Saccharomyces cerevisiae S288C: one gene and its partner. Changing the gene in region 1 together with any one later gene gives a genetic interaction. Each region holds a gene or a part of one and is shown in the gene's direction. Other genes may lie near its edges.

Region 1 (4,364 bases):
GGTGTCAACGTTGAAAAATTCAATGTCGAATACTTTGCTAAGGAAAAATTGACTAAGAAGGAAAAGAAGGAAGCTAACTTGTTCCCAGAACAACAAAACAAGGAAATCAAGGCTGAACGTGTTGAAGACCAAAAGGTTGTCGACAAGGCTTTGATTGCTGAAATCAAGAAGACTCCATTATTGAAGCAATACTTGTCTGCTTCTTTCTCTTTGAAGAACGGTGACAAGCCACACATGTTGAAATTTTAAATATAATTATTTTAACGAACTTCTATAATAATATATATGCAGGTAAAATTATAATTTAACTACAGTTTCATAAGTGCATTTGTATTGAGCATTGGTTTTTTATTCGCATATTTATATCTTCATTGCGGCAATCACCCAGAGAAAGGGCGTGAAAAGAAAAAGGAATACATTATTTCAAGTTCCTTTGATCTTTCCTATAATGTAGACTTTCTTGGCGCAAGACTTGGATGCATCATACAAAATACAAATTGTTAAGCAAAAAAGTGTCGCTCTGCTGTAAGCTTTGTGATGTTATATTTGATCGTATGGTGAGGAAAAACAATACACCTCATGTTATATAATGATCGTTGTTTTAGGTGAGATGTGGAAATAGAAGAGAGATTTTTAAACAAAAAGTAAATGGTTTTAAACGTTGGCAATAACAAGGCCTGCTCACAGCAAATAAAACGGGAATAGAACAGGAACGGGAATAGAACAAAGATAAGAAAATTGAAAGTAGAAAAGACAAATAGTGAGAAACAAAATGCAAGAGAAAATGCATCGCTTGAGCCCAATGTTCCTACCAATATTAAGGGGATTTCAGGTATCAAAGTCGCATTGACGTATAAAATACTCCAAAAAATGCGCTCTGTTTACTTTGTTATCTATGAAATGAGGAAAATGCAACCGGTGAGTGTAAAAGCATCCTGCAGGAATTTGTTACAACTTCATCTCAGTTACCAACATAGCCAACGGACGTCGATATTGTCCTTTACCCCACTGGTAGTGAAATACTTTCGAGTAAATGTCAGGACGTTAGAAATCATCCGAGTCATGCTTCGACTCCATGTATTTTTATTCTCTAAGTGTGCTTTGGAGTTTCCCCGCGAGTTCTCACAGAATTGGCTTTACTGCCAAAAGTTGAAGACAGCATAGTCATTGGCTTCGTCAAAAGATCTTCATTATTTAAAGCAAGCAATGATCAATTCTAAGACGGGTTAACAAAATATGGACAGAGCATCTTCAAGCAAAACTAATGCGGCAATGTTAAGCTTACATATATTCGAACGGTAATAACATCGATAATACGGTTATAGCCACCAACTCTGCATTATAGAAATGAGAAAAGCGCCATAGCTATTATTTAACGTAACTTACCAGAAGTCCTTGAGCAGACGATTGAGCATTGAATAAAAAATAAAATTCTTGTAATTCTTGGAAGGAAGAACGACACAAATAGATAAATGGCGTATTTTCTGAGCAATGAACTGTGTTCCATCAAAAACATTTTATCGCACACCATAGGCACTTAGAAAAACAAACCTTTGTGCCAGTATTTGAATGAAAACACTTTGGTTGAAATGTATTGTGAAATTAATCATCGAGCACTTTACGGTTGGCAACGACACATTACTGACGTTCTTTCGCCGATTTGTTACTTTAATATATTGTACAAAAATGCATCAAAGAACATAAAAGAGAGCGATCGCACAATCAAACTTCTTTTGGAAATAATCTGTCATCAATGCTCCAAACATTCTACTATCACCTGTTCATGATATTATGGGGAGAATATGCCAAATGTATATGACACATCGCATACTTTCTACCTTTTTCAACTGGCTTGCTTCCTCTACCTTTCACTAAAATCTGGATTGCATCTACATCTATATAGTCAAAACCGGCAAGAACAGAGATTATGATACATGCTTCATGTTCCATTGATTAGAATCCACTAGTATTAGCTCGCTGTTCAATTTTCAGCCCTCTACGGACTGTCGTCATTCCTAAAGGACGGCAAAATTTAAAAGTGAAGGTAAAATTTTTAAATTCGAAAAAAGAGCCTACTAACACGTTTCTATATAATACATAATTGTGTGAAAGTTCATACATAATTGAAAGCAAGCATCCAACCAGCCCAATATGTCTGATTTGTTACCACTAGCTACCTACAGTTTGAATGTTGAACCTTATACCCCGGTTCCAGCAATCGACGTCACGATGCCCATCACCGTTCGTATTACTATGGCTGCTTTGAACCCGGAAGCCATCGATGAAGAGAACAAACCATCGACTTTAAGAATTATCAAAAGAAACCCGGACTTTGAAGATGATGATTTTTTAGGTGGTGATTTTGATGAAGACGAAATAGACGAAGAATCCTCTGAGGAAGAAGAAGAGGAAAAAACCCAAAAGAAAAAGAAGAGTAAAGGCAAGAAGGCTGAAAGTGAAAGTGAGGATGATGAAGAAGACGATGACGAGGACGATGAGTTCCAAGAATCCGTCCTTTTGACTTTATCTCCGGAAGCCCAATACCAACAATCTTTGGACTTGACCATTACTCCAGAAGAAGAAGTCCAATTCATTGTCACTGGTTCTTACGCTATCTCCTTGAGCGGTAACTATGTTAAGCATCCATTTGATACTCCAATGGGAGTCGAAGGTGAAGACGAAGATGAAGACGCTGACATCTATGACAGTGAAGACTACGACTTGACCCCAGATGAGGATGAAATTATTGGCGACGACATGGACGACTTGGATGACGAAGAGGAAGAAGAAGTTCGTATTGAAGAAGTCCAAGAAGAAGATGAAGAAGATAATGATGGAGAAGAAGAACAAGAAGAAGAAGAAGAAGAAGAACAAAAAGAAGAAGTTAAGCCAGAACCTAAGAAAAGCAAAAAGGAAAAAAAGAGAAAGCACGAAGAGAAAGAAGAAGAAAAGAAAGCTAAAAAAGTAAAGAAGGTCGAATTCAAGAAGGACTTAGAGGAGGGTCCAACAAAACCCAAAAGCAAAAAGGAACAAGATAAGCATAAACCAAAGAGTAAGGTTTTGGAAGGCGGCATAGTAATCGAAGACCGTACTATCGGTGATGGCCCACAGGCTAAGAGAGGTGCCAGAGTAGGCATGAGGTACATTGGTAAGTTAAAGAACGGTAAAGTTTTCGACAAGAACACCAGCGGTAAACCATTTGCATTCAAACTTGGCCGTGGTGAAGTTATCAAAGGCTGGGACATTGGTGTTGCCGGTATGTCTGTTGGTGGCGAACGTAGAATCATCATTCCAGCACCATATGCCTACGGGAAGCAAGCTCTGCCAGGTATTCCTGCCAATTCCGAACTGACATTCGACGTTAAATTGGTTTCTATGAAAAACTAGTACACGCGCTCGTACGGATAGATGTTTATATATATTATTCTTTTTACATAATATTGTAACCTTCTGTATGTAAATCCGAAAACATTCTATTTCTTTTTAGTATCTATTGCTCTTTATAAGCTTTTCATTTTACTTTTCTCCGCGGATGATACAAATAAAGAAGCTGTGTTGTATAGAAAGAAATATATGGCGGCAAAAAAAGCGTTATCTTCTTTCTGTTCCTATTTCACTGAGTGCTACTGGATGGTCGTCAAGAAAGGTGAAGAAATCTTCAAAGCAATAAGAATTCAGACATTGACGTTAAATTAGATTATCGCCGCAGCTGTAATTGCGGTTATGGCCTCTAGTATTTAGTTCGATGTTAATGAAATAAAGCGCAAGCTGACTGTGAACGATAACCGCCAGGAAGGCTAGACACAGCTCTTCAGCTAAACAGTAGCCGGAACACATATACATTAGGGAACATTAGAAATAAGGCTCTCGTTGATCATCCTTGTAACTGAAAATTAGAACCGTTAAACGCTGCTGATTGATGGATTCCAGCCGTTCTCTTCCAACCCCTTTTACCCCGATTGTTCGTCCACTATCATGACTTATTATCCACTAAAGTGGCGTTGGCTGTACATTCGGGTGATGGTAGTATGGTGAGCACATGCTTTAAGTCCGAGAAACTAAGCTACAAAACGGAATTTCAAAGGGCCCCATTTTTATCGGGTGGACTAAGGGAAAGAAAAGCCTTCTGGAGAAGAGTTGGAAGACCTCAGCGTAGTGCGAAGAAAACGTAGTGCGAGTCTCTACGCCCGCTCGTTTAAAACTCTATAGAACGTCCGAAAGAAAGGTCCGTACTAGCTATAGGATCTCTACTTTACCTATTATTATCGCTAGGTGATAGCTTATAAAACAATTCATCGGTTTCTTCCTCATTTTTCCTGTATCTTTTCGGCTATGAAAAGCTGTTGTTCGATAAATCCAGGCAA
Region 2 (5,729 bases), on another chromosome or scaffold:
CTTCAATAGCGGCGGGGGTTTTTTTTTTTTGCAGATTGCCGAGATAGCCCGCGGCAAAGATACGTTATCTCGGTTATCGTCGGCAAGCGCTATTGTAACTAGATATAGGAAACTGTGGTCTGCAAAGATGCGGTATAAGGCCTCCGTCTGTTCTTACTGCGTTATCAGCCTTTGACAGTTTTAGTTCGTCAGGGTCTTTGACCAAATGATAAATTCCCTGGTTTACATTTTCACTAGTTTGTTCTCGAGCAATGCTTAGTTGGCACATAAATGAGTCAGGCACTACCACTCGGGTAACGGTCTGCGCGTTTCTTTTTGCGGCCATGAAATTTTTCAGGCGATGAGCTTAAAGGTAAAGGAAAAAGATGGTAGGATGATAGGTAGGATGAAGCGGTATGAAAGTGGAAGAAGCACAATATAGCACGTCGAAACAGTGCTAATCATGAGCGATGACTTGTTTTCTAAGGCTTTGGAGAATCCCGACCAGGACTTGAACGTGGAATTGCCCAAGGATGATGTTGATTTAGGTCTTTTAGGTGATGGTGGGAACGAGAGGAAGACCGATGAACCGGTAGCAGACGCAGAAAGATCAACAGGCCTAGGATCCGGCTCTTCTGAATCCGAATCAGATTCCGGTTCTGATTCTGATTCTGATTCTGGCTCTTCAGGTAGTGAGGATGATTCTGCAGATCAGGACGTTGAAGGAGAGGACGAAGGTGGTGACGCGATTGAAAATGAAGACGAAGACGAAGACCCTTCACCTTCCGGTCCTATACTATCGAAGAACGAAATACTAGAGGAAACTGTTCCTGAACTACCGGAAGATTATGAAATTTCAGAAAAAACGATCATCACTCCTATTGGTGTTTTGAAGTCTGCATTTGAAAATAATATAATCATTCACGCCACGATGTCGGGCGAAAAGCGTGTTTTAAAAGAGGGTTCCATTTTCTGTCTCGAGGATAGAACTTTGATCGGGATGTTGACGGAGGTGTTTGGACCCTTGCAAAACCCATTTTATAGAATTAAGTTGCCCGATTCAAAAAAAAACTTATTCGATGAATTAAAAGTGCGTTTGGGTGAGAAAGCCTTTATAGTCACCCCTGATGCCCACTGGATAGATACTTTCGAGTTAAAGCGCAACAAAGGTACTGATGCGTCTAATGGGTACGATGAAGAATTACCTGAAGAGGAACAAGAATTTTCCGACGACGAAAAAGAGGCCCTTTTCAAGAAAATGAAGAAACAGCAACGGCAACGAAAGAAAAGGGACAACCGCAAACTAGCCAACGATAGTGACAATGTCAAGGTAAAGAGAGCTCGGCAGCCCAAGGCCAACAGTTTACCTAAACTGGTACCGCCGTTGGGCATGAGCAGTAATGCTCCGATGCAACATGGGTACAAATCAAGAAACGCACGTGAAAATATCAAGCGTGAATCCAGTGCTACCTCTAATCGGAATGGCTCCTCCCCAGTGCCAATCACACAGCACCACCAACAACAGTTTTCTGCAAATAATTATCCCTTCCCTCAACAACCAAACGGTATGCCTTATCCACCATACTCACCTTTCCCTCAGCCGACTAACTTCCAGTATCCACCTCCACCATTTGGGCAGGCGACACCGGCCCAATTCTCCAACACTGTTCCATATGGTAGCTTACCTCCCGCATACAACAATATGTCGCCGCCAACACAGCAGTCGTTCATGCCAATGACCCAAAGTCAACCGCCACTTCCATATGGCGTACCTCCCATGAATCAAATGCAAAACCCAATGTACATCCAACCGCCACCTCAAGCACCTCCTCAGGGAAATGGTAATTTCCAACAAGTAATGGAATTACATCAAATACTTTTGCAGCAACAGCAACAGCAACACCAGTATCAGCATCAGCATCAGCAAGATCCAAGAACCTAGAGTCACGATTGAAATATTTAATAATAAATGCTATGTATCATAGATAAACTAGAAAGAGGCAAGAAAAATTTAACAAGTTTCTTAATTGAATATTATTTTACTGTCACTACCATTATTAGACGCCATCTCAGCGTGTGACATGATAATTTTTCTTTTTTTCTTTTTTTTTCCTCAAGGCGATGATATGAAACTTTCAAAAAATTTATATGTAAATAAAAAAGTTCTACGAGGGTTTAAATACGGAAGTTTATTTAGAAGATATTTATACTCTGAATACACACGTAGAGTACAGTAAAGGTTTTTTAGATCTACTAATGACCATATCGTTGAGCAATATAAAGAAAAGAGACCATTCTAAAATTTCCGATGGAACTTCTGGTGAATCATCGCTTGTAAAAAGGAAACAGTTGGAAAGCGCCACCGGAGATCAAGAGGAAGAATATACAGACCATGAAATCATTATAGAGCCGTTGCACTTTGCTAATAATAATAACACTGTACTCACAGATTCAGAAAATTATCTAAGATGGCAAAATACCATCTCCAACGTTGTTAAATCAGTGGTTTCCATTCATTTTTCACAAGTTGCGCCATTCGATTGCGATTCTGCTTTGGTATCTGAAGCTACCGGATTTGTCGTGGATGCTAAATTAGGTATAATTCTGACCAATAGGCACGTCGTTGGTCCTGGTCCGTTCGTAGGCTACGTAGTTTTCGATAATCATGAAGAATGCGATGTTATACCAATTTACAGAGATCCTGTTCATGATTTTGGGTTCCTCAAATTCGATCCGAAAAACATAAAATATTCTAAGATCAAAGCGTTAACGCTAAAACCAAGTTTGGCTAAGGTCGGCTCAGAAATTAGAGTTGTCGGTAATGATGCCGGTGAGAAATTAAGTATCCTAGCAGGTTTTATTAGTAGAATTGACAGGAACGCTCCAGAATATGGTGAGCTGACATACAATGACTTCAATACAGAATATATTCAAGCTGCTGCATCTGCTTCTGGCGGTTCAAGTGGTTCTCCAGTCGTAAATATAGATGGGTATGCTGTGGCTTTACAGGCAGGTGGCTCTACAGAGGCATCTACTGATTTTTTTTTACCGTTAGATAGAATTCTTAGAGCGTTAATTTGCATCCAAACCAACAAACCTATCACACGTGGTACGATTCAAGTTCAATGGCTGCTGAAGCCTTATGACGAGTGTAGAAGATTAGGTTTAACTTCAGAGAGAGAAAGTGAGGCTCGTGCTAAATTTCCCGAAAATATCGGACTGTTGGTAGCAGAAACCGTTTTAAGAGAAGGCCCAGGCTATGATAAAATTAAAGAAGGTGATACTCTAATTTCAATAAACGGTGAAACCATATCTTCTTTCATGCAAGTGGATAAAATTCAAGATGAAAATGTTGGGAAGGAAATCCAATTGGTTATTCAAAGGGGCGGTGTCGAATGTACTGTCACCTGCACTGTTGGTGATTTACATGCTATCACCCCTCATCGTTATGTAGAGGTTTGTGGTGCGACTTTTCATGAATTATCATATCAAATGGCAAGGTTTTATGCGCTACCTGTCAGGGGTGTATTTTTAAGTAGTGCATCAGGGTCTTTCAACTTTGATTCAAAAGAAAGAGTGGGTTGGATTGTGGATTCTATAGACAATAAGGAAACCCCCGACTTAGATACATTTATTGAAATTATGAAAACTATTCCAGATCGTAAGCGCGTTACTGTACGATACCACCATCTAACAGATCAGCATTCTCCACTTGTTACTTCTATTTACATTGACCGTCATTGGTGCAATGAATTCAGAGTTTACACAAGGAACGATACAACTGGTATTTGGGATTACAAAAATGTTGCTGATCCACTTCCAGCCGATGCGTTGAAACCTCGTTCGGCCAAAATTATTCCTATTCCTGTTAATAATGAAAAAGTTGCAAAATTGTCATCATCGTTATGTACAGTGGCTACAATGGCAGCAGTTCCATTGGATTCACTTTCTGCTGATATTTTAAAAACATCAGGCTTAATCATTGATGCTGAAAAAGGTTATGTCCTAGTGTCCAGAAGGGTAGTTCCACATGATTGTCTTGATACTTTTGTCACCATTGCAGATTCCCTTGTAGTTCCAGCCACAGTAGAATTTCTCCATCCAACTCACAACTTCGCTATTGTTAAATATGATCCAGAGTTAGTAAAGGCTCCACTAATCACTCCCAAGCTATCTACCACCAGAATGAAACGTGGTGATAAGCTTCAGTTTATAGGTTTTACCCAGAATGATAGAATTGTTACTTCAGAGACCACTGTCACCGATATTTCCTCTGTAAGTATTCCAAGTAATTTAATTCCGAGGTACCGTGCCACTAATTTAGAAGCTATATCTATCGACTGCAACGTTAGCACCAGATGTAATTCCGGTATTTTGACAGATAATGATGGTACAGTAAGAGGTTTATGGCTTCCATTTTTAGGCGAAAGATTAGAAAATAAAGAAAAGGTTTATTTGATGGGATTAGATATAATGGACTGTAGGGAAGTTATAGATATCTTAAAAAATGGCGGTAAACCAAGAGTAAGTATAGTTGATGCTGGGTTCGGTTCAATTTCCGTTCTGCAAGCCAGAATTAGAGGTGTGCCCGAAGAATGGATCATGCGTATGGAACATGAATCAAATAACAGGCTACAGTTTATCACTGTTTCTAGAGTTTCTTATACAGAAGACAAGATTCATTTAGAGACCGGTGACGTCATTTTATCTGTGAACGGAAAATTAGTCACTGAAATGAATGATTTGAATGGAGTTGTAAGCTCAGCTGATGGTATTTTGCCATCAGCCATGTTAGATTTTAAAGTTGTTCGTGATGGTAATATTGTTGATTTGAAAATTAAAACCGTGGAAGTTCAGGAAACCGACCGTTTTGTAATATTTGCAGGTAGTATCTTACAAAAGCCGCATCATGCTGTTTTGCAAGCTATGGTTGATGTTCCAAAGGGTGTCTACTGTACATTCAGGGGAGAATCGTCACCGGCGCTCCAGTACGGTATATCTGCCACAAACTTCATAACTCATGTCAATGAAATTGAAACACCTGATCTAGATACATTTTTGAAAGTTGTCAAAACAATCCCTGATAATAGTTATTGTAAAATGAGGTTAATGACTTTCGACAATGTGCCCTTCGCTATTTCACTGAAAACGAATTATCATTACTTCCCTACTGCAGAATTGAAGAGGGACAACATCACGCACAAATGGATTGAAAAGGAATTTACCGGCAACAGCCAAAGTGAAAAATAGGCCAGATTTGATAAAACATTTATATATGTATGTATGTATGTATACATCAAAGTCTTCCATAAAGAACAGTTTTTTTATAGACTATCACAGGAGCGTTAAGATTTACAAGTTTTTCAATCATTTTGAGGGGTTAGGATTATGATGTCGAGATGGTTGCAAGCGCCTGACGAAATAGTATTTAATTACTTCAACGCTTGAATTCTCTAAGGTATTATCGATTGTATAAATTTATGGTTATTGTTTCATACTTATTTATATACATGAAGACCGAAAGCAAATACTCAAACAATTGATTTGGGGTTAACGGTGCGTTTGGTTTAGAGGAGAACATAATTATTCCACCTTCAATGATAGGGTAATAACCGCTTTAGATGCTTTGAATAAGCTGGATGGGCAATTTTCCTTCCGGTTAAGGCTTTTAATGATCTATGGGACCAGCCTATATTGCCATGTTTTCTTCCAGCTATGCCTCTTTTAAAAGTATTACCGGTACGCCTCCA

The links.
Region 2: of FPR3 (region 1) and NMA111, extra expression of one rescues a mutant of the other (dosage rescue), as found in Saccharomyces cerevisiae (one study listed by BioGRID).

Annotation. Positions count from the first base shown.
Region 1 is NC_001145.3:119,112-123,475, reverse strand, and holds FPR3 (peptidylprolyl isomerase FPR3), read left to right. Parts: upstream 1-2,151; coding exon 2,152-3,387; downstream 3,388-4,364. Other genes in the region: 60S ribosomal protein eL6 RPL6A, read left to right, coding at 1-249. UniProt on the Saccharomyces cerevisiae protein: Proline isomerase that belongs to an abundant class of enzymes that catalyze the cis-trans isomerization of X-Pro peptide bonds and can accelerate the refolding of proline-containing polypeptides. Specifically binds nuclear localization sequences.
Region 2 is NC_001146.8:392,450-398,178, forward strand, and holds NMA111 (Nma111p), read left to right. Parts: upstream 1-2,235; coding exon 2,236-5,229; downstream 5,230-5,729. Other genes in the region: NAF1 (RNA-binding snoRNP assembly protein), read left to right, coding at 443-1,921; mitochondrial 54S ribosomal protein bL35m MRP35, read right to left, coding at 5,574-5,729. UniProt on the Saccharomyces cerevisiae protein: Nuclear serine protease which mediates apoptosis through proteolysis of the apoptotic inhibitor BIR1.